3 linked regions of the Elephas maximus indicus genome follow. The protein of the gene in region 3 interacts with the protein of the main gene of each other region in a biochemical or structural test. Links are inferred from orthologs where the notes say so. Each region holds a gene or a part of one and is shown on either strand. Other genes may lie near its edges.

What was found. The genes of interacting proteins can lie anywhere in the genome.
Region 1: the proteins of BCAR1 (region 3) and PTPN1 form a complex in vitro, tested with the Homo sapiens proteins (3 studies listed by BioGRID and IntAct, with this or other methods). The link is inferred for Elephas maximus indicus from reciprocal best matches to the Homo sapiens genes BCAR1 and PTPN1.
Region 2: the proteins of BCAR1 (region 3) and PTPN12 form a complex in vitro, tested with the Homo sapiens proteins (3 studies listed by BioGRID and IntAct, with this or other methods). The link is inferred for Elephas maximus indicus from reciprocal best matches to the Homo sapiens genes BCAR1 and PTPN12.

Annotation. Positions count from the first base shown.
Region 1 is NC_064843.1:19,114,440-19,121,384, forward strand, and holds the start of PTPN1 (tyrosine-protein phosphatase non-receptor type 1), read right to left. Parts: upstream 3,002-6,945; 5' UTR 1-3,001. UniProt on the Homo sapiens protein: Tyrosine-protein phosphatase which acts as a regulator of endoplasmic reticulum unfolded protein response. Mediates dephosphorylation of EIF2AK3/PERK; inactivating the protein kinase activity of EIF2AK3/PERK.
Region 2 is NC_064826.1:47,221,550-47,228,679, reverse strand, and holds the start of PTPN12 (tyrosine-protein phosphatase non-receptor type 12), read right to left. Parts: upstream 3,002-7,130; 5' UTR 2,966-3,001; coding exon 2,867-2,965; intron 1-2,866. UniProt on the Homo sapiens protein: Dephosphorylates a range of proteins, and thereby regulates cellular signaling cascades. Dephosphorylates cellular tyrosine kinases, such as ERBB2 and PTK2B/PYK2, and thereby regulates signaling via ERBB2 and PTK2B/PYK2.
Region 3 is NC_064839.1:40,988,300-40,995,147, forward strand, and holds the start of BCAR1 (breast cancer anti-estrogen resistance protein 1), read right to left. Parts: upstream 3,022-6,848; 5' UTR 2,846-3,021; coding exon 2,834-2,845; intron 1-2,833. UniProt on the Homo sapiens protein: Docking protein which plays a central coordinating role for tyrosine kinase-based signaling related to cell adhesion. Implicated in induction of cell migration and cell branching. Involved in the BCAR3-mediated inhibition of TGFB signaling.

The sequences.
Region 1 (6,945 bases), on a different chromosome or scaffold from region 3:
TCCAGGGCTATTGTTGCCATCTCCTTCATCTGAAACAATGAAACCATTGACACTGAAAGAGAGTGACCAGTGTCAGAGAATCAAAGAATTCAAAAACACCTGATCCAAGCTCTCTTAAACCACAGATGGAGGGTGGCGTATCATATTCTTGTCATCATTCAAGCCCTCTCTTCTCTCCTTCCAGCTTCTAAAACTGATCCTTTTTTATATCTGTGCCTCTCCTCTTTTGGACAGCCAAGCCAACTCAAACTTGAGACCTGCCAAGCAGTACTTCCACTTTTCACACCAAAGTGCTTAAATGCTAGAAAACAATTTTTAAAGCTATCTAAATGATGCTATCAAAGCTGACTTTTTATAGCACCAAATGCTTATTAGTATCTGTGCTATTATTAGCATTGAAGATTACAAACCCGTCTACGCTCTCTATCAGACTGAGCTAGCATAGAATCTTTGCCTGGAACATTTGTTTTCTAAGCTGCCACATTCCTCGGCACTCAAAAAGCCCACTTCGCCCTTTATTCTTTTCCCAAGTTCTTGCTTTTTTTTTTTTGTACTAGTTAGAAAAAAGGTTAGGATAGTGAAAGATGACTGTGCTACCTTATAGCAAAGTTTTAAGCAAAAATTACATGTTATCTTTCTAGTCACAAAAGAGTAAGTGAGGTCAATATATGACTCTAAGGCTACCCTCATTTTTCCATGCTATATACAACATTAATTTTTTTAAACTCATTTTCTACCAACCATAAGCACACTGCTTTTAATTCTTGGAAAATAATGGTTCCGGTAAACTGACACACAACTTGGAAAATCTGCCACTTAACACTCAAGGTCATTTGAACTCCACATTTAAAAAAATGCTACAATTGTACAAAAAAGAGCAACTTACAAACTTAGTAAGGGGAAGAGCCTCTGACTTCAATTTTAGAATATCTGCATGGTAAGAGGTAAGAAAAGGCCACAGTGGATATTTCCTTAAGGTCAGAAGAAACCACCTCCAGTAATGTGGCAATCTATTAAGAAGCTGGGGAAATCTCAAGATAAAGCAATCTTGACTAACTCTTGTAGTTCAAATGTGATACAGAAACTTAAGAACAATGAAGGAAATTAGTTGAAGACCAACATGCTTCATGCTAGCAGCTTGCTTAATATAATTTCAACAACGCTTAGGTGACAGGTCAGACTACCCGCACCTAAAACAGTAAGAAATCGGATTCAACCAAGAACTTATCTACAATATAAATTTGCAGTTGAGTCAGTTTCAGTACAAAAGATTTTTTCTCCAAAGCCTGCAATTGTGATGGAGTATGTTGTAGTCAATTCCGACACTTCAGAGCAACAATTTTCCTTTAAAGCCATTTTAGACTCTGTTGCATTAAATTTGATGTAGATAATGTGTCCACACATTCTCAAAGTCACCAGTGGCACTCATTCCATTAGCCTACAGAGACTAGGCACGGAATACAAACTTTTATATTGATCCATCATATTTATACAGATTACAGTGGTCTGGCAACATTATAAATATTACAGTCTATCAGAAGATAATATACATCACAGTCCAAGTAAAAAGAGTCCTGTCAAAGAAGCTTAATGCAAATCCACATGAAAACAAGGCTGCCAAAAACAGGCTTTCGTCAGTCAAGCTCACCAAAGAGCTGCTTAATGCTGTTTCTCCTTTTTAAGAGGAGCTCAAAATAGATTTTAATAAGACCAGCTGATGGACACCACAATTTGCCTTTTGAGCTCAAGCTGAAAACAGAAAAAACTGCCTTCCCTCTTTACACAAGTAACAAAATCTCTCTATTCTGCACGTTGCTTATTCAAGATACCAAGTGTGGTTTTGGTTAATCCTCACAACCCCCGCAATGACATTTAATGGGGAATGTGTATTTTCTTTAGAGGATTTAACTGGTTGTGAAAGCAGACCTCTTCGTATTTTTAATCTGACGCTTTAGAGATAGGTGACAAACCCTACCTTGCTAACTTTTTGCTTACGAACCACCGTAACCCACCCGAGGTCTCGGAAGACAGTTCGTCTCAGCTCTGAACCAAGGATGGGCTGCCCGTTGAGGAAAGATGCTACTGAGAGTAAAGCCTTAACCTTCCCTAGCCCCTGCTTGAAAAGGCACTGTTTTGGCCCTGATGGAATGGTGACTGCAGACCTCCTGGCTGGAAAGCTCTTTAGCCTGATACACTCATAGCCTGCTGTGACTCTTCATTCAGCCCACAAAGCAAATGTCTCTTCTTCTGACAGACAGTCCCTGCTCTCTCTCACTAAGGTAGTCCACCTTTCATCTGGAGGCGCCCTACCCCATTATGTTTTGTTTTCCTCACATCTTTTGTTACCATCCGAAATCATCTGCGTATGTCTGACTGCCCTATTCGACTCTAAGCTCCACAGGGATAAGGCTTTACCTGTCTTGTTCAACACTCTCCAGCGCCTATAGCGGTGGCTAGCACGGAATAGGCGCATCACTTTACAGACACTAAATGAATGAGCAGGAAGGGGGAAAGGGGCTCTGTCATCCTTGGACTCGACGGACACTGAGACCAGAGGAAAGGAAATGTGAGGGGGGAGGGGGCGAAACCCTTTCCCCCGGGAGACAAAGGAAGAGAGTCTGAGGTGGTCCCGTCTAGAAAAGGAAGTCGTGGGGGTGTTAAATCCACCCCAGGGGACAAAGAGTGGGTAGGCAGGGGGGCGGGGTCGCGGTGCGAAGGATTCGCGCGAAGAGTCTAGATGGGCGGCCTCCAGGCTTAAGAGGTCACCCGGGCTAGAGGATATGAGGTAGGTGGGGGATCTCAGGAGGCTGCGAGGCCCGAGCGAGACGCAGGCCCACCCGGGGGACAAAGAGAGAGGGGGGCGGCCTCTGCCGCTGTCGGATCGAATCCTCAGGCAGCAGGGCCGAGACGGAGGGCAGGACGCAGAGGGAGAACGGGGCCCGGTGTTCCGAGGAGGGTTCCCGCGGCCTAAGCAAAGAGCCTGTCGCGCTCGGGGGCGCTCCCGCACCTGGTAAATGGCCGCCCAGCTACCAGCCCTGTCGATCTGCTCGAACTCCTTTTCCATCTCCATGACGGGCCAGGGCGGCTGTTGCGTCTCCTCCTCGGCCCACTGCGACGTCTGCCGCCTCAGGCCGCGTCGCGATCTTAGCTTTGAGTTCCACTGCAAGCCTCGACTCTCGCCGCTACCGCCGCCCCAGCCGCCGCTGCTTCTTCATGTCAACCCGGCAGCCGGAAGTACGCACCGCGCCTGCCGAGAGCCCCGCCCCCTAAGCCGGAGGGCCAATCCGCGCTCGAGGATGAGGGCAAGCACTTCCGCGGGGCGGAGTCCGGAGGAGGTGCCGGGGGAAGTGGCCTCAGCCCCGCGAGACGTTGGGCAGCGCGCAGGTTCCCCCGCCTCTCCGGGGGTCCGGGCTCGGGCGTGGCGCGCGCCCGTTGCCTAGGCGACCCCAGGGCACCGAGCCCACGGTACGAGGGTTGGCAAGGCCTGGGGTGGGTCTTGAATTCAAACCTCGGCTTGGCCTCCTGAGTTACAGAGTGACCTTGAAATAGTCACGCATCCTTCTTGCAGCGCCAGGGTCCTGGACTCAGTACTCCCAGCTAGAGCACCGACGGAAGACTGCAAGCCCCGTTCACCGTCTCCCGGCTCTGGCCAGAGGAGGCCCGCCGATTTTAACGAAACAGGAGAGTTTCATGATCCGCTGGGCTGCCTGGGAAGAGCCATTACTCCCTAGAGGCAAGAGTTCCTGTTTGAAATCCGTATTTTCCCTTTAGGGTCTTCTACCCTGGGCCCATCAGAAGGGGGGTCCTAGAATGATTTTCAATATTTCCCAGAGAATCAAAGAAAGCCTACATTGACCCTGCTCAGCCTGGATTTGGTGGAGCTCCAATTCCATGATGCATTAAAATCACCTGGGAAGTGTGTTGAACGATGCGGATTTCTGGGACCACCTCCAAAGGATTGGATACCTTTGGTACGGAGGTGAGGCCCAGGAATCTGTATTGTTTACTGTCCCCCTTCCCCCCTGCCCCGGGAATTCTTATGCCTGTGGTCCTTGGGGCACACAGGAAGGAAGGCTGGTCAGGTTGCCTTTCTGTGGACTCTGATTTAAATCATCCAGCTCCAGCGTGGCATCTTCTGCGAAGCCTATGAACTCCATGAGGGCAGAGAACCCAGAGCATCAAATCATCTCTCTTACTGTTCCCATGCCAGGCCTCCCAGGGTGGCTACCTGGAATTCTTGGTTGAATTCCAACTCATTCCTTGAGTGCTTGTGGCAGGCACTGTGCCTGGTATTCCAAGTGCACATTCTCATTTAACAGCCCCCTCCAACAACACTACAAAATTGTCACTATTGTTATTCCCACTTTACAGTTGAGGACTCTGAGGCAAAATCACTTCTCCAGAGTAGCACTGCTCATTGGTATGGAAGACAGGATTCTAACCCAGTCTCCAGAGTGGTACAGACTTTGGAGCGAGGCTGCCTGGGCCCCCATCCCAGCTCTGCTAAATAACTATGCAGTCTTGGGCAAATTACCTAAACTCTCTGTGCCTCCTTTATAGAATGCGGGTAATAAAAGTACCTGGCTCAGAAGGGGGGTGTGAGGAATGAATGAGTTACTACATGTAATCCTTTTAGTATAGTGAGTGGCTTAATAAATATTGTTGTTGTTGTTAGGTACCGTCAAGTTGCTTCCAACTCATAGCGACCCTATGCACAACAAAACGAAACACTGCCTGCTCCTGAGCCATCCTTACAGTTGTTGCTATGCTTGAGCTCATTGTTGCAGCCACTGTGTCAATCTACCTCGTTGAGGGTCTTCCTCTTTTTCCCCTAATCCTGTACTTTGCTGAGCATGATGTCTTTCTCCAGGGACTGATCCCTCCTGACATGTCCAAAGTATGTAAGACACAGTCTCGCCATCCTTGCTTCTAGGGAGCATTCTGGTTGTACTTCTTCTAAGACAGATTTGTTCGTTCTTTTGGCAGTCCAAGGTATATTCAATATTCTTTGCCAACACCACAATTCAAAGGCATCAATTCTCCTTCAGTCTTCCTTATTCATTGTCCAGCTTTCACATGCATATGATGTGATTGAAAATACCATGGCTTGGGTCAGGCGCACCTTAGTCTTCAAGGTGACATCTTTGCTCTTCAACACTTTAAAGAGGTCCTTTGCAGCAGATTTACGTGATGCAATGCGTCTTTTGATTTCTTGACTGCTGTTTCCATGGCTATTGATTGTGGATCCAAGTAAAATGAAATCCTTGACAACTTCAATCTTTTCTCCGTTTATCATGATGTTGCTCATTGGTCCAGTTGTGAGGATTTTTGTTTTCTTTGTGTTGAGGTGCAACCCATACTGAAGGCTGTGGTCTTTGATCTTCATTAGTAAATGCTTCAAGTCTTCTTTACTTACAGCAAGCAAGGTTGTATCATCTGCATATCACAGGTTATTAATGAGTCTTCTTCCAATCCTGATGCCCCGTTCTTCTTCATATAGTCCAGCTTCTTGTGTTATCTGCTCAGCATACAGATTGAATAGGTATGGTGAAAGAATACAACCCTGATGCACACCTTTCCTGACTTTAAACCAATCAGTATCCCCTTGTTCTGTCCAAACAACTGCCTCTTGATCTATGTAAAGGTTCCTCATGAGCACAATTAAGTGTTCTGGAATTCCCATTCTCATGGGAATAAATATTAGCTATGGTTTATTTCAAGGAGCCCTGGTGGTTAGTGGTTAAAGCATTCGGCTGCTAACCAAAAGGTCGGCAGTTAGAACCCACCAGCTGCTCCATGGGAGAAAGACACAGCAGTCTGCTCCCGTAAACATTACAGCCTTGGAAACTCTATGGGGCAGTTCTACTCTGTCCTATAGGGTCACTGTGAGTCGAAATCGACTCGATGGCAGTGGATTTTTGGTTTATCATTATCGTTGTTGTTGTTAAGTCCTGTCGAGTCAGTTCTGACTCATAGCGACCGTATATACAACAGAATGAAACACTGTCCAGTCCTGCGCCATCCTCACAATCGTTATTTTGGAGCCCATTGTTGCAGCCACTGTGTCAATCCATTTCCTTGAGGGTCTTCCACTTTTTCGCTGACTTCTACTTTACCAAGCATGATGTCCTTCTCCGGGGATTGGTCCCTCCTGGCAACGTGTCCAGTGTTTGTGAGATGAAGTCTCGCCGTTCTTGCTTCTAATGAGCATTCTGGCTGTACTTCTTCCAAGATAGGTTTGTTCATCCTTCTGCCAATCCATTTTTAATTCGATATTATTATTATATACCTTCAAATAATAACAAACAGGAAGTAAGTGAATTTTTATTGAGCAATTTACTCAATAAAAATTCACTCACTTCCTGTTTAAAAAAAAATTTTTTTTTTTTTTTAAATGCAATTGGTTTAATAGGCAATACCTTTAGAAACTAAGGATTCTAGGGGAGAGGCAATGTTAACGAGAGGTGTCCGTTCTGGTGAAACATTTGGAACTCAACACTCAGAAGCTGCCTGTTTCAAGTCTGGGCCCGTTGAAGTGCTCTGCAGGCTGTGTACTCTTCCCTCTCACCCATATATAATTTGAGTGATAGTTTGTCTGGAAGAAAACCCTGGTGGTACAACAGTTAAGTGCTCGGCTGCTAACTGAAAGGTTGGAGATTAGAACCCACCAGCAGTTCAGGGGGAGAAGAGACCTGGCTCCTGTAAAGACTGCAGTTTAGGAAACCCTACGGGGCAATTCTGCTCTGTCATATGGAGTTGCTATGAGTCGAAATCGACTCAGTGGCAGCCAACAACAACAACAAAGTTCACCTGGAACACACAGCACTGTGAGCTCCTAGAGTGAATGGAGGACAGGGCTGGTTCATTCCAATTCCCATGCACGGGGCTAAGTAGGGAAATAAGTGCCCATCTTGAGTCGAAGTGGCACTCATACCTACAGGGAGT
Region 2 (7,130 bases), on a different chromosome or scaffold from region 3:
ACATTAAAAACATGAACAGAAGTAATCTTCAGGTGATGGAACTATAGGAAGTTTGGGAAGAATAATGGCAAGAACACTGTAGAGTGACACCTGAGTTTGAATGCCAACTTCACCTTCCTAAGTGTACCAAAAAACAAACAAACCCATTGCCGTCGAGTCATTCCAACTCAGAGTGACCCTATAGGACAGGGCAGAACTGTACCACGGGATAGCCAAGAACAGCTAGCTGGTGGATTTGAACTGCTGGCCTTTTGGTTAGCAGCCAAGCTCTTAACCACTGCATCATCAGGACTCTTAAGTGTAGGACGTTATTATTATTATGTAATTTTCAAATTTGAAATAACAAGCATTATTAATTTATAGTGGAATTGGGTTATAATAGAATATCTCTAAGGTCTCTTTCAGTTCTGAAATGTCAAAACTTAAAAATGCATTTGACTCTGCATCAGAATTTAAGAATAACAGCAGAACAGTTAGAATCTAAATTCTATCAACTGATCCTCTATTTTCCCTCAATGACAGAGGAACATAGTTTGGGAGATTTCCTCTCCTGCTTTCAGCAGCCAACTACCAGCAACCTTAATTATAGCTGTTCCTTATCAAGTCAGGAAACAGAAAAGGCAAGCACTATGTAAGAATAGCCTTAGTCATCAAACCTTGAATGTAGAATCACCTAGCTCTCCCTAGGTATTATGGATGAAAAAAGAAACTAATTTAGTACTTGAGAAATGAAATCTCCAATAAGCATCCCTGACTCAACTCCAAAGCATAAACCCTAAGGCTATTTCCCCTGCACAGAAGTTCACAGACAGGGCACCTGTCCTGATGGCCTGTATCACTAAACAATGCCCTTTCCTGACAGGATATGCCTAGGGATAACTCAATGACTAGTATGCATATAAGTGGCCAGGGACCACACCATTTCTTCTTGATAACCAAAATAAGACTTTAAAAGACTAATTTTAGATATTTAAAATATACAAAGTAAATATTTTCTTCTATTTTTGCTAGAGTGTAGTAAAAAAGGGACTACATGCAATTATTGTAAATGATTCCATTCAAAAGACACCAACACATTCAAAATTCTCAATAGTACAAAGGAAAAATGTCCCCTCCTTTTCTTTACTCTTTTCAGATCAAAAAGTAATTTTTCAAAAGTACAAAGGCTAAATATCAAGAGAAAAATGTTTAAGACAAGAAATAATTACACCATTTAATCTAGGTTTTCCAGTCTTCAAAAGATAAGTAACAAAACTTCTATCTTCTGTTATTGGTTTGGGGAAGCGGGAATCACAAAGCTCTACAATACTACCATGTTGTGTAAGCCCTTTATAAGCTGTTAACAATTTTAACACTGAAGCTTTACTAGCCCAAGGTCTCCTTAAAATTGAAAAAAGCATTTCGGTACTAAAAGTCCCTTCACCTGCACCCTGAAAACAACTACTGTACTTTGAAACAAAACGTAGCCAACGTTTGCTGCCCATTCATTTTTATAAACATTAGCTCTATATTTTCTTTATAACCGAATTTCGGAGCTAAGTGTTTATCCTTGGAAGAGCACCTTGCCCAGGACCAAAATTCTTCCTAGCTTATTTCCCATTTCCAACCCCCGCCAAGGCCAAAGAGCAACCACTTCCCAAAGTCCTACTTCCTTTTCCATTCCCCAGACCTCCAGGGTTTTCCAACGCCCCAGTGTTGCGCAATATCCGTAAGAGCAGCCACCGCAACCACCGCCTCCCAAGCCGGGAAACAACCCTAGAGGGGACATTGTCCGGCTGAAAAATAAGAGGGTGGGGGGGGTGTAATGTAGGAAGTCGACTTCTGGTCCCACGCCTTCAGATCTGACCCCCTCATCGTGATGTATCTAGAGCAATTTCACGGATAAGACTTTAAACCCTCACCTCCTCCCGAGCCAGCCTGCAAAAGCAGTGGGCGGAAGGGGAGGGGGGGTGGTGACTGGGAAGGTTATCTCCCAGTTCAGGGCTTCGGCCCGGATCTTCGCCTCCGCCCCACCAGGACTATTGTTCCCAAGTTCCCCACCCCCACCCCGGATAGGAAGTGATAGTCATATCCCCTCCGCCTTCGGCAATATCCCCTAGGGAGTTCGAAGTAGGCTTCCTTCAGGATAACCACACACGCATACACACACACACACACACACAGTTCCCCTTCAACCTAAAGTCGCGCTGACCCTAAGACTACCTCAAACCTGTGTCTCAGGAGAGAAGAGACGGGATGAGGGTAAATGGAAATAAGACAAACCAAGAGCTTCCTTTGGACAACGCTTTCCCAAGCATTGGAGATAATAACTGGGAACCGAGAAACGACAGAACTCCTACCCTGCCCACTTATGAGACCAGCTTGGGCAAAGGGCCCCCACGAGTTAATGCCAATCTCACACGCCCGTTCCTCTGTCAGCCGCGATCCGCTCCCCCCTGGGCACAGCCAGATACCCTGCCTCGACCCTCCCGGGAGGGGCAGGATAGGTGGTGAGGTGTGGAAAGGTGAGGCTCCTCCTGTCCCCCGACCAGCACCTCACTCGCCTCCAGCTCCAGGCCGAGAAACAATAGGTGGTCGCGGGCGGCGGTACCGGGTGCTGGCTCGGCCCAGCGGCCGCTCCCTTGTTGTCCCGGGAGCCCGCAGAAGGGGCCGCGAACGCCGGAGGAGGGAAAAGAGGGCCGAGGGGCGGAGACGGTCTCACCTTCCACCGGCCTCCGAGCCCACCGGGCCCCGGGGTCGCTGCGCTCCCCCTCCGCCCCTCTCCTCACAGCCGTACACAAAGCGCTGGCTGCCTGGGCCAGCCGGGCGAGGCGGCGATGGGCTCCAGTGCCGGCGAAAGGAAGCGACAGCGAGGGCAGGCACTCACCATGAAGTCCCGGGCGAAGTTGTCCTCCCCATTGTGGTCCGGACTCTTCATGGCCTGGACCCTCTGGATGAATTTCCTCAGGATCTCCACTTGCTCCATCCTCCCGCGTCCCCCCGGCTGCGGTCGCTGGCCCCCCCGCCGACGCCCGCCTGCCCGGCGCAGAGCCCGCTCCGTCTTCCCCAGCTCGCTCCCCCTTGTCCGTCCCCTCCCTTCCGACCCCCGCCAACCCCGGTCGTTCTCTCCTCCTCTTTCTCCTCCTCCCCACCGCCCAAGGCGGCGGCAGCAACAGCACCGGCCCGGCTCCCGACGCTACAACTTCCAGGAGCAGCCGCCGCTCTCCCACTGTACGAGGCGAGCCGCAGCGGCTAGCGCCAGCCCCAACCCCCAGCTTGCTCCATCCTCCTTCCCCGCCCTCCTCCTCTGTTGGAGACTCCACCACCGCCTCAGGAACCCGGCTCTCTGCTCGCCCTGCCCCCCGACCCCGTCCCGGGTTCCTCCTCCCCCCCCACGGGCCCTCCCACTAGCAGCCGCAGCCGCCTCTCCCCACGGGCGCGCCCCCGCCGCCACCCAGACGCGCGGCCCCGCGCCGCGGCTCCGCCCAAAACGCTACGCCGCGCCCATCCGCCCCCGCCCACCCCTCTTCCAAGGCCACGCCCCCAAGCCTGCCTGCCGGCTAGGCCCTGCTTGGAGTGGTTGGAAAGCGCTGGTGGGCCCGACTCCACTTCCGGGGCGTGATCTGGCCCCGGTAGGTTGTAGGTCTGAGGAGAGCTAGGGTAAAGTTGATTCCCCTGGAGTAGGGAATTCGACTTTGAACTGGGCAGACCTTAGTTGATCGGAGTAGGAGTTTAATGGAACTTGCGATCTTATCGTCAGCTCGCGGGCAGAAGGCAGATTTCAAGAGCGCTTCAGCGCCGTCGCCAGCCCGGGCCCGGGACTACAAGTCCCGCCCGCGGAGTCCAGGAGTGGGGGCGGGGAGGGCGGTGGTGGGAAGAGAGGCATCTGGGAACTGTAGTAGTGTCATCTCCGCGTTCACAGCAGGTGTGTTCTCATCCTACTAATGGCTTGGTGGGAATTGACTGCAATTAAAATTTAGGACTTTGGGGGATTGCTACCGCTGAGGGAAGCTAAACGTTTCTTAGGTGAAAGGACTTTTGCTGTTTGCAATTGCATCTAAACGCTGTCGAGTGAGCGCCTGAGATTTGTAGTGTGTCCTGATACATACCACACATATAGTAGGGACCCTGTGTTCGTTAAATTGAAGGAAACTTGTAATCTTGCTTTTAAATTCGCAGCACTTCGAAATTGAATAGCTCTTCTCCGTAGGATGGACCTTAAATAAATCGTCTAGTAGTAAGAGTCTATCCGTTCTGCTCTAATTCTCCATTTTACAAGTAAAAATGATTTGCTCAAGTTCCCCTGCAGTTTTTTAAGCACAGTCAGAACTAGAACTCAAGTCCTTTTGCTTTCACTATGTACACCTGGTGCCGCAGTGGTTAAGCGCTCCGCTGCTGACCAAAAGGTCAGCAGGTCGAATCCATCAGCCTCTCCTTGGAAACACTATGAGGGAGTTTTACTCCGTCTTATAGGTTCGCTATGAAACTCTATGGGGCAGTTCTACTCTGTCCTATAGGGTCGCTATGAGTCGGAATCGACTCGATGGCACTGGGTTTTGGATTTGATGAGTGGAAATCGACTCCACAGCAACGTTTTTGTTGTTTTTTTTTTTTTCTTTTTTTATGATGCCTATTGCCCTTCCCGTTGCGTCAAGTCGATTCTGACTCCTAGCGACCCTGTCAGATAGAATAGAGCTGCCCTATGGAGTTTCCAAGGAGCGCCTGGTGGATAAAAACTGCTGACCTTTTGGTTAGCAGCGCTAGCTCTTAACCACTATGCCACCAGGGTTTCCTATTGCCTTTCAAGGGGCCTTCGTGGCACAGTAGTTAAGTGCTGGGGTGCTAGCCGAAAGGTTGATGGTTCAAACTGTCCAACCATTCTGGGGGAGAAAGATGTGGCAGCCTACTTCCTTAAAGATCACGGCCTTGGAAATCCTGTGGGGCAGTTCTACTCTATTCTATAGGGTCGCTATGAGTTGGAACCATCTCTACGGCCAAAAAAAAAAAAAAAAGAATAACCTTGAGAATAAAAACTACAGTCCATATAGTCCTTGAGCTATGGGGTTAAAAGGAATTAACACTTTGGAAACCCTGTTGGTGTAGTGGTTAAGTGCTAGGCTGCTAACCAAAAGGTTGGCAGTTCACATCCACTAGGTGCTTCTTGGAATCTCTATGGGGCAGTTCTCTGTCCTATAGGGTCACTTTAAGTTGGAATCTACTGGAGAGCAACGGTTTGGTTTGGTGTTTTGTTTGTTTGTTTGTCTTTTATTGCCTTTCAATGAGGAATGTAAACCTGTAATTGACAGAAGTGAAGGATTTGATCTGTGGACATATTTTGGCCACATATTCTCAAGCATTCTTTCCAAATCAGATTGGTGAGAGGATCTGATTAATATGAAGTATCAGTGGTAAGCCACTTTTCCCAGATGAATGTTTAGGGGCACCATGGAATTTAATGAGAAACTCCTTGAAGAAGATAGGTGTGAGTAACATCATACAATCTTGTTCCTCTTTTTAAAAAGAAAAATGTCATTCTTTAAGTAATATAACTAATACGTAAAATGAGTATTCCCTCAATCCACTCCCCTCCCCGGAAGTATGCACTTCCAGGTGTGCTCTTCCAAATCTTTCTATGCATTTATATGCTTGTATACCAAAAAAAAAAAAACACATTTACACGGAGTGGATTTCAACTCATAGCAACCCTATAGGACAGAGTAGAACTACCCCCAAAGAGTTTCCGAAGAGCAGCTGGTGGATTCAAACTGCCGATCTTTTGGTTAGCTCCCTGAGCTCTTGCCCACTTTGCCACTAGGGTTCCTTTGCATGTATGTGCATGTTAAAAGGATATATTTTTGTTCTGTGTTTTAAAAATTTACTTGTTGTTGTTAGGTGCCACCGAGTCAGTTCTGACTCATAGCGACCCCACACACAACAGAACGAAACACTGCCCGGTCCTGCACCATCCTTACAGCCGTTGTTATGCTTGAGCTCATTGTTGCAGCCACTGTGTCAGTCCACCTTGTTGAGGGTCTTTCTCTTTTCTGCTGACCCTGCACTTTGCCAAGCATGATGTCCTTCTCCAGGGACTGATCCCTCCTGACAACATATCCAAAGTATGTAAGACGCAGTCTCGCCATCCTTGCTTCTAAGGAGCATTCTAGTTGTACTTCTTCCAAGACAGATTTATTCATTCTTCTGGAAGTGCATGGTATATTCAATATTCTTCACCAGCACCACAATTCAAACGCATCAATTCTTCTTCAGTCTTTCTTATTCATTGTCCAGCTTTCACATGCATATGATGCGATTGAAAATACCATGGCTTGGGTCAGGGGCACCTTAGTTAGAGGAGTAATTTAATTTCTAAGGTAAACTTCATTTGAAGTATGGGTCTGGAATATTTTACTTTAGTCAGATACTGAGACTCAGTTTCACACTGGGCATAGGGAAACGTCAGGATCTGGCTTGATCGTCTCCCAGTATAATCCAGTATAGATGCCCCTTTCCTCCCAACAGTAGGAGAGAAATGAGACAGTAGGCAAAGCAATTGGTAGGTGATTAGGAGTGCCTCCACTTCTGATGTCAAAAGAATGTACAAACTAGATAGTGATTGATAAAGAACTAGTTATGCTGGACAAGTTGTATAACAGTCTACTAATAGTCTCCTGGGAAGTGTTACTTGTCAGAGGAATTGAGTGCCATTTTGCCTAGTGCTCTTGCTTCTCAATGTTTAGTTTACCTCTTATTGGCAAGTTTCTCTTTCTTTCTCAAAACACTTGACTGTTTCTTGATGCCATAGATTGAATTGTGTCCCCTCAAAAATATTTGTCAACTTGGTTAGGCCACAATACCCAGTATTTCATAGTAGTCCTCCATTATGTGGTTGTAATTTTATGTTAAAAAGGATTAGGGTGGGATCGTAACACCACCCTTACCCAGGTCACATCCCTGATCCAGTGTAAAGGGAGTTTCTCTGGGGTGTGGCCTGTACCACCTTTTATCTCTCAAGAGATAAAAGGAAAGGGAAGCAAGCAGAGAACAGGGACCCCATACCACTAAGAAAGTGGCACCTGGAGCAGAACACGTCCTTTGGACCCAGGGTCCCTACATCTGAGAAGCTCCCCGAGCAGGGGAAGATTGAAGACAAG
Region 3 (6,848 bases):
GGCCTCTCAGCAGCCTCGACCTCTGTGATGGCTCAACAGGCCACAGTCCCCATAGTTAGAGAGGCCACGAGGTATGACAGTCACTTTCTGGCTTTGGGTTCTGCCAGACTTGGTTCCCACCCAGTGCCTGCCTCTTATTGGCCGCGCCACCCTGGCAAGACACACTGTCCCTGAGCACAGTGTCTGGCACATGGGATGCATGCCACACGTCTGCACCGTCACTTCTTGACAGGTTCCATCCTTCACACAACAAAGGAACAGTAGAGGGGCAGAATGGCTGCACGCATTTCACAGACAGGAAAGGAGGCAGGAAAACAGTAGGAGAATTTCTCTGCAAGCTGGAAACTGGCCTCTCTGACAGTTCCAGGGAGCATCCAGCATCGTGCCACTCCTAAACACAGATCCCATGCCAATGCTGGCCAGTCCAGAGGCCTGAGGCAGGTGGCACAGCCATGCCCAAGAGGAAGCCAGATATCACTGCTCTCAGCTTGGGGCAGAGGAAACAGCACTGAGTAGGGGGTCAGGAAGACCCTGTGTACCTTGCCCCCTCTGGGATCCAGACTCCTGCGTGTGTGGGCTTGGATCAAATGACAGGGTCAGACCACCAATGTCTAGAGCGCCCTCCTGTGCTAACACTCAGAGTCACTCACAGATCAACCTGGCCCACCACAACCCCTACTCTCCCTGACATCACTTCCCACCCTGTCTCGTTCTGAAGCATCTTGTAATTTCTGTGTTCCAAATTGCCTGTGTCAGCCCCATCCAGGAAAAGACTACCCAAATGAACAAGTGTGCTTAAAACCCTAATGTGTCTATAAGCCCACATGGGCCGTCACCATTCTGGGTTCCGAGAGCAGGGCTTGAGCAGGCCGACTCAGCCCTGAGGCTTCTGCAGGGCCTACCCAGCACATGAAAGCAATTTGCAGAACATTTCACAGCTGCTCCAGAAATGAACTGCTCCTTCTGGTCCCACCACCACAGGCACTGGCCAAGGTCCCAGGAGAAAGTCTGGGTGCTCTGACAGCCCAGCCACACAGGGGGCTGACAGTGAGACCCCTGCCCACTCCCACAGAATCCCCAAGGGTTGTGGCTGCAGGTGGGAGGGTGGGACCTGAGGACCTGATTTGGAGCAGGTGATGGTGAGGACAGACTGAGCTGACCTCAGCTGCTGCCTCCACAATGATGCCTGTCTGTCCAAGTCACACACAGACCCTGGTCCACCTGCCCACACCTCTCTTGTTATAGATGCAGCTACTGAGGCACAGAGCCAAGTAGGGCTATCCAGAGTCACGTAAGACAAGGGGTCTGGGTACCCTCCCGGGCTCCCCTCTCAGTGCTCTGCAGTGTCTGTGGACAACCAAACCACATCAAACGTAGACCTCCCCAATAGCGGTCAGCCCAGGGTCTGATGTGGCCCTGCCCCCCCACCCCCCCAACCTTTGGCCTCTTTTTCTCCACATCATATTCCCTTGGCCCTGAAGACCCAGACCCTCCAGCAGGTCCAGCTGGTCCACCTTATTTCTCTGGTCAGTGCCTACAGGGGCAGGGAGGTTCCCTGATGTCCTGGGCTGGAAAAGGCCCAGAGCTTTGCAGGAAAGCTGAGCAAGGGAGAAGAAGGGCTTGGCAGGCATTTTCTGTCTTCTTTCAAAGATGAGGCAATTATGCTCTGAACCAGAAGAGATTGGGGTTGGGGGGGGGGTCACATCAGCACAGTCTGGAAGCCCTAATTTTTTCATCTGTAACTCTGCATTACTGCTTCTGGAGGCGGGTAAAGCTGGGATCTTTAATTCCATAATAACAATGCTTTGCACTTACACAGCAGCTCTCATCCAATAATCTCCACACACTCTACGCTGGTTAATTAAAAGGCCAGCCTGCCCTGCCAGAAGGCCCCAACTGTCTGCTTCATGGCAAGAAGGGGGCCCTCATGTGGGGGGCAGTCCCAGAAACAAGGCCAGGGTAGGCTGGGAGCCGCGGCCCACTGCCTATTCCTGTCAGAGAAAAAAGCCCCTAACCCTGCAAAGAAACAATGGCCGGAGGCCACATCTCCAGCTAGCGGGTGGCGCCCCTTTCCAGCGGGACCTCTGGTTCATCTCCCTCCCACCTCAGCCTGTCCATCTGCAAAGTGGGCTGGGGCCTGTACCTGAGGTTTGGTCACGGGGGGGTCTCCAGGATTACTCGCCACCCGCAGGACAAGAGGCCGAGAAGACCCAAGATGCTCCGAGCCAAGTGTGAAGCCATTCACCAAGGGGCTGCCCGGGGCCGGCCTGTCGGGCCACGAAAAATGCCCACCGCTAGTAGGGAGCAAGGAGCCTGAGCCTGTGCTCAGAAAGGGGCTCAGTGGCCAGAGGAAAACTTCCCGAGAAAGTGAGCACAACAGCCGTCCTGGAGGGGGAGGCGCAGACGCCCACCCAGCCAAGCCGTCGACGGGGGGCGGGGAGAGAGGGAAAGGGTCTCCGGGGACAGGCATAGACCCCGCCCCAGGCCTGGCCATTCTGGTGAGGTCCCTGGGGGACGGCAGGGCAGCTGTCCAACGTAGGGGTACGGTTTCCAGGAGGGCAGCACGGACCCCGCTTGTCAGTCCTGGGGGTACCCGAGAGGGCAGCGCGGACCCCAGCCCGACCTGGCCCTCCTGGGAGAGGAGGGGATGGTAGAGGTAAGTGGGACGCTCGGGGGAGATGCCCCCAACCTGCCCTCCCCCAGCTGTTGCAGGCCCAGGTGGGGCGACCCCGTCCGAGAGCCCCCGTGGCAGCGGGCCCGCAGCGGGCAGCACGAGGTCGCAGGCCGGGCCGGGGGCAGCCGAGCCGGGTGGCGGGCAGCGGGCGGTACTCACCGGCACGGACATCTTGGCCGCCGTTCGCGGCGCCCGGGCGGACGGCGGCGCCGGCAGGCTAGGGGCTCGATGGGCCCGCCCGCTCAGAGCCCCGCGCGGGGTCCCGGGGCTTTCGGGCTCCCGGCGGGCACCTCCAAGCTCCCGGCTGCCGGACGGTCCGGCAGCGCCAGCCGCGCATGCGCCGCCGCGCCGCCCCACCCCCTCCGTCTCCTCAGCCGCGGGCCGCGTTAAAGGCGAGGACCCCGGACCCCAGTCATTTTTCTGTCGGCCCAAGGCAGCATAGAGGTGCCTAGGTCTCCAAACCTTACCCCACTCTTTAAGGGCCACCTCCCGTAGCAACCTCTCCTGTTTACCCACCCGGTTTTGCAGGCCAGAACCCCCACTCCCCGCATTGCATCCCAGGGCGCTGTGGCCCTGGCCGGGCTCCCGGTCCCTGTGTCTGGGAGCTGACCAGGAGGGCTCTGCCAGGCTGGAGGCAGCTGCAAGTCAGCCGAACTGAGTTCATAGAACTCCCTCCCCACGGCTGGGAGCGCCCCAGAATCTCAGGGACAACCCCTAAGCTACCCTGGCGCAGGGCTCCTTCGCCTGATCTTCTCCCCGCCCCCACCCCCCAGGTTTGGGGAGCTCTCCCTAACCCCGGGAACAGCCTAGCCTATCCCTACGGTCACCCCGACAGATCTGGGCTGGCTTTTAGGGAGGGTCCTGTCTCTTGGTAGCCCTCACCCACACCCGCCTCCCCCCACCTCAACCAGGCCAGCCCTGCGCCCTGGCCAGCCCTTCCTTGTGAAGACAGGCCTGAGCCTTCCCTCCCCAAGTCAAGCCACCCCATTCCTTCAGCTCCCCACATCTGACAGGTGTCCAAACAGGTACCAGTGCCCATTAGTCCTAATTCCTCCTCCTGCTGCCAGAGATCCTTGCTGTGCCCCTGTTACCTTGAATAGACCTCGCTCCAGGTCTCTCAGCTACTTAAGGCAGACCTGTTCTACCCAGCTACTAAAGGTCAACCTGTTCTACTGCCCAGACAGGCAGCCTGTCTCTGACCTTGGGGCTCTTCCTAGGCAGCTTATGGAGGCCCAGCAAGGCCTGACCCCAGGAATGGCCATTGCTGCACAGGGAGACCAGGGGAGGTGAGTGAGCACCTGCCGGCAGTGTCCAGGTGGTGAGTACTACCACCCACCCAACTGAGGAGGAAAAACAGAGCTATTCCACAGCCAGCCCAGCTCATGGGGGGCTTGGAGGTGGACAGGGAGCTCTAGCCCCCTAGGAAATCTGTGTGGGGAGGCGGGTACCCATGGGCACAGGGGGACAGGCTGTTCTGTCTGCCAGGTGTGCAGTGCCAGAAGGCCCATGATGACTGAATGGAGAAAGCAGAGACAGGCTGCAGGCAGCTTCCTCAGAGGCCCAGAGCTGGCCCCCAGCTCTCTGGACCACAAAACCCACCATTACTGGGGTTTAAAAGGCTTTCCAGCCTTCTCACCCAAGGTGGGGAGGCTGCCTTGATCCTGGGGAGGGTCCTAATAGTGGCCACAGGCACGGAGGGGGATACAAGAGGATTGAGAAAGGGGGAAGCTGAGGCCCACCACCATGCCAGGTCTGGTCTTAGGACTGATGAGCCAGGGTCCCTCCCTGCTCCGAATGAGCAGGGTTGCCCTCCGCTCCAGTCAGGGTTCCCAAATGTACTCCTCAGTTTCCCCAGCCCAGTGCTCAGTAAGGCGTTGTTGGAGGGGGTAGGCAGGGCTGCAGCAAGCAGAAGGGGGCCTGGGCCGACAGCTGCCACCTCCTCAAAGGCGTTCTGTGTGTATATCTGGCACGCAGCCCTGCCTATGCCCACCCACCTGTGCCAGCTGGCACAGGGACTCCTAAGCTGAGAGCAGCAGCTCAGCCTGGCACCCAGGCTCCCAGCCACACGAGCCTGCCTGGCTGCCACCCTGACCCCCCACTGAGCCTTCCTCCCCAGCATCCAGGCTCTGCCTCCCTTTCCTCTCCCTACTGTCTTTCATCACCCACTGTTTCTGGCTTCTTCTCTCCTATCTCCCCCATCCCATCTCTGTGTTCCTGGCCAGAGGGGGTGGGGGATTCAGAAAGACCCCTTTGACACCCCTGGGTACAGGGAATGGAAAACCAAGGGAGGGGTGCAGTTTTGCCCATGGCTACAAACCATCTAGTCCTTGCCTCCAACTGCCCCCCGACCCCCACCCCAAGCAGCTAGCTGCTCACTCAGGGAGGGCGTCACTAACTCAGTCCTCAGTGTGGGGAGAGGGGATCCTGGCCAGAGCCTCACATACTTGGAGGCAGGGATCCAGGGCCTTGGGTGTGCAGTTGCGGGTGGCCAGAGGAGCCCCATTAGGGTGCTGAGCACCCTGCCCTGATCCCACCAGGTGTCTGTACACCTGCCCTTCCCACACATCCTAGGCAGGCAAACAATGACTCACAGTTCCACAGAGGGGTCCTCAAGACAGGCTGTTCAGACCAGAACCAACAGCTGGGCTGGCTGAGCAGGCACCAGCACTCTGAGAGGGTCCTTGAGGGCTGACCAGGGGCCCTTACCAGTGAGTCGCTCACTTACAATCCCAGGGAGGTAGGGTTATTGTAGCTCCTGACACTGAGAGGAAAGGGAGTTAAGACAAGAACAAATTGGGGCAGAGACAAGCTCTCCTAGCACTCAAGCCAGGCCTCTGTCCCCTGGGCCTTGCATCATCTAGAGGGACCAAGGGCTGGGAGGTGTCTTCTTCTCCCCCCTCGTCCCACCCTGTACCCCTCTAGACAACCCAGGACTTCTCTGGCAGAGGGGCCCCTGGCCAGGAGAGAACAGGACATCTTAGAGGAGCCTGTGATACATTTGTCACAATTAATGAACCAATATTGATATGTTCCTGTTAACTAAAAGGAGTTCTGGTGATGCAGTGGTTAAGTGTTGGGCTGCTAACCGAAACGTTGGTGGTTTAAACCCACTAGCTGTTCAGCGGGAGGAAGATGTGGCAGTCTGCTTCCATAAAGATTACAGCCTAAGAAACCCTATGGGGCAGTCCTATTCTGTCCTATAGGGTCATTATGAGTTGGAATCAACTCGATGGCGGTGGGTTATTAACTAAAGCCCATCCTTTATTCAGATTTCCTTAGTTTTTACCTTATAATCTTTTTTTTGTTCTAGGATCCTCCAGGATGTTGTTAGTTGCCATCCAGTCAGCTCCAGCTCCTGGAGACCTTATGTATAGCAAAAGGAAACGTTGCCCAGTCCTGTGCCATTTCATGATTGTTGGTATGTTTGAGTCTTGTTGTGGCTGGCTACTGTGTAAATCCATCTCACTGAGGGTTTCCCTCACTTTCCTTGGCCCTCTATATTACCAAACATGATGTCCTTTTCTAGCAATTGGTCTTTCCTGATGACATGTTCAAAGTAAGCAAATCGAAGTCTCACCACCCTCACTTCTAAGGAGCATTCTGGATGTACTTCTAAGTCTGATTTGTTTGTTCTTCTGGCAGTCATGTATATTCCAACACCACAGTTTGAATGCATCAATACTTCCTTTTTCATTATCCAACTTTCACATGCATTTGAGGCTATTGAAAAGGCCATGGTTTGGGTCAAATGCACCTTAGTCATTAAAGTGACATCTTTGCTTTTTAAAACTTTGAAGAGGTCTTTTGCACCAGATTTGTCTACTACATCATTTGATCTTTTTTTTTTTTTAATTGTGGTAAATACATAGGTAACAAACATTTGCCATTTCTATAATCATATATATATATATTTTTTATAATCATCATATATACAGTTCAGTGACATGTTTATCATGTTGTTCAGCAACCACCATTAACCTTTCCCAAATTTTTCCATCACCCTTAACAGAAGCTCAGTGTCCCCTAAGTGATTTCTTGACTGCTGTTTCCATGGATGTTCACTCTTGATCCATGTAGACTGAAATCATTGATAACTAGGGCAAAACCCTAGGCTCCCACCTCGCAACCAGGGCTCTCGCTTCTGACCTCACGGCCTTCTAGGATGTGTGTAAAT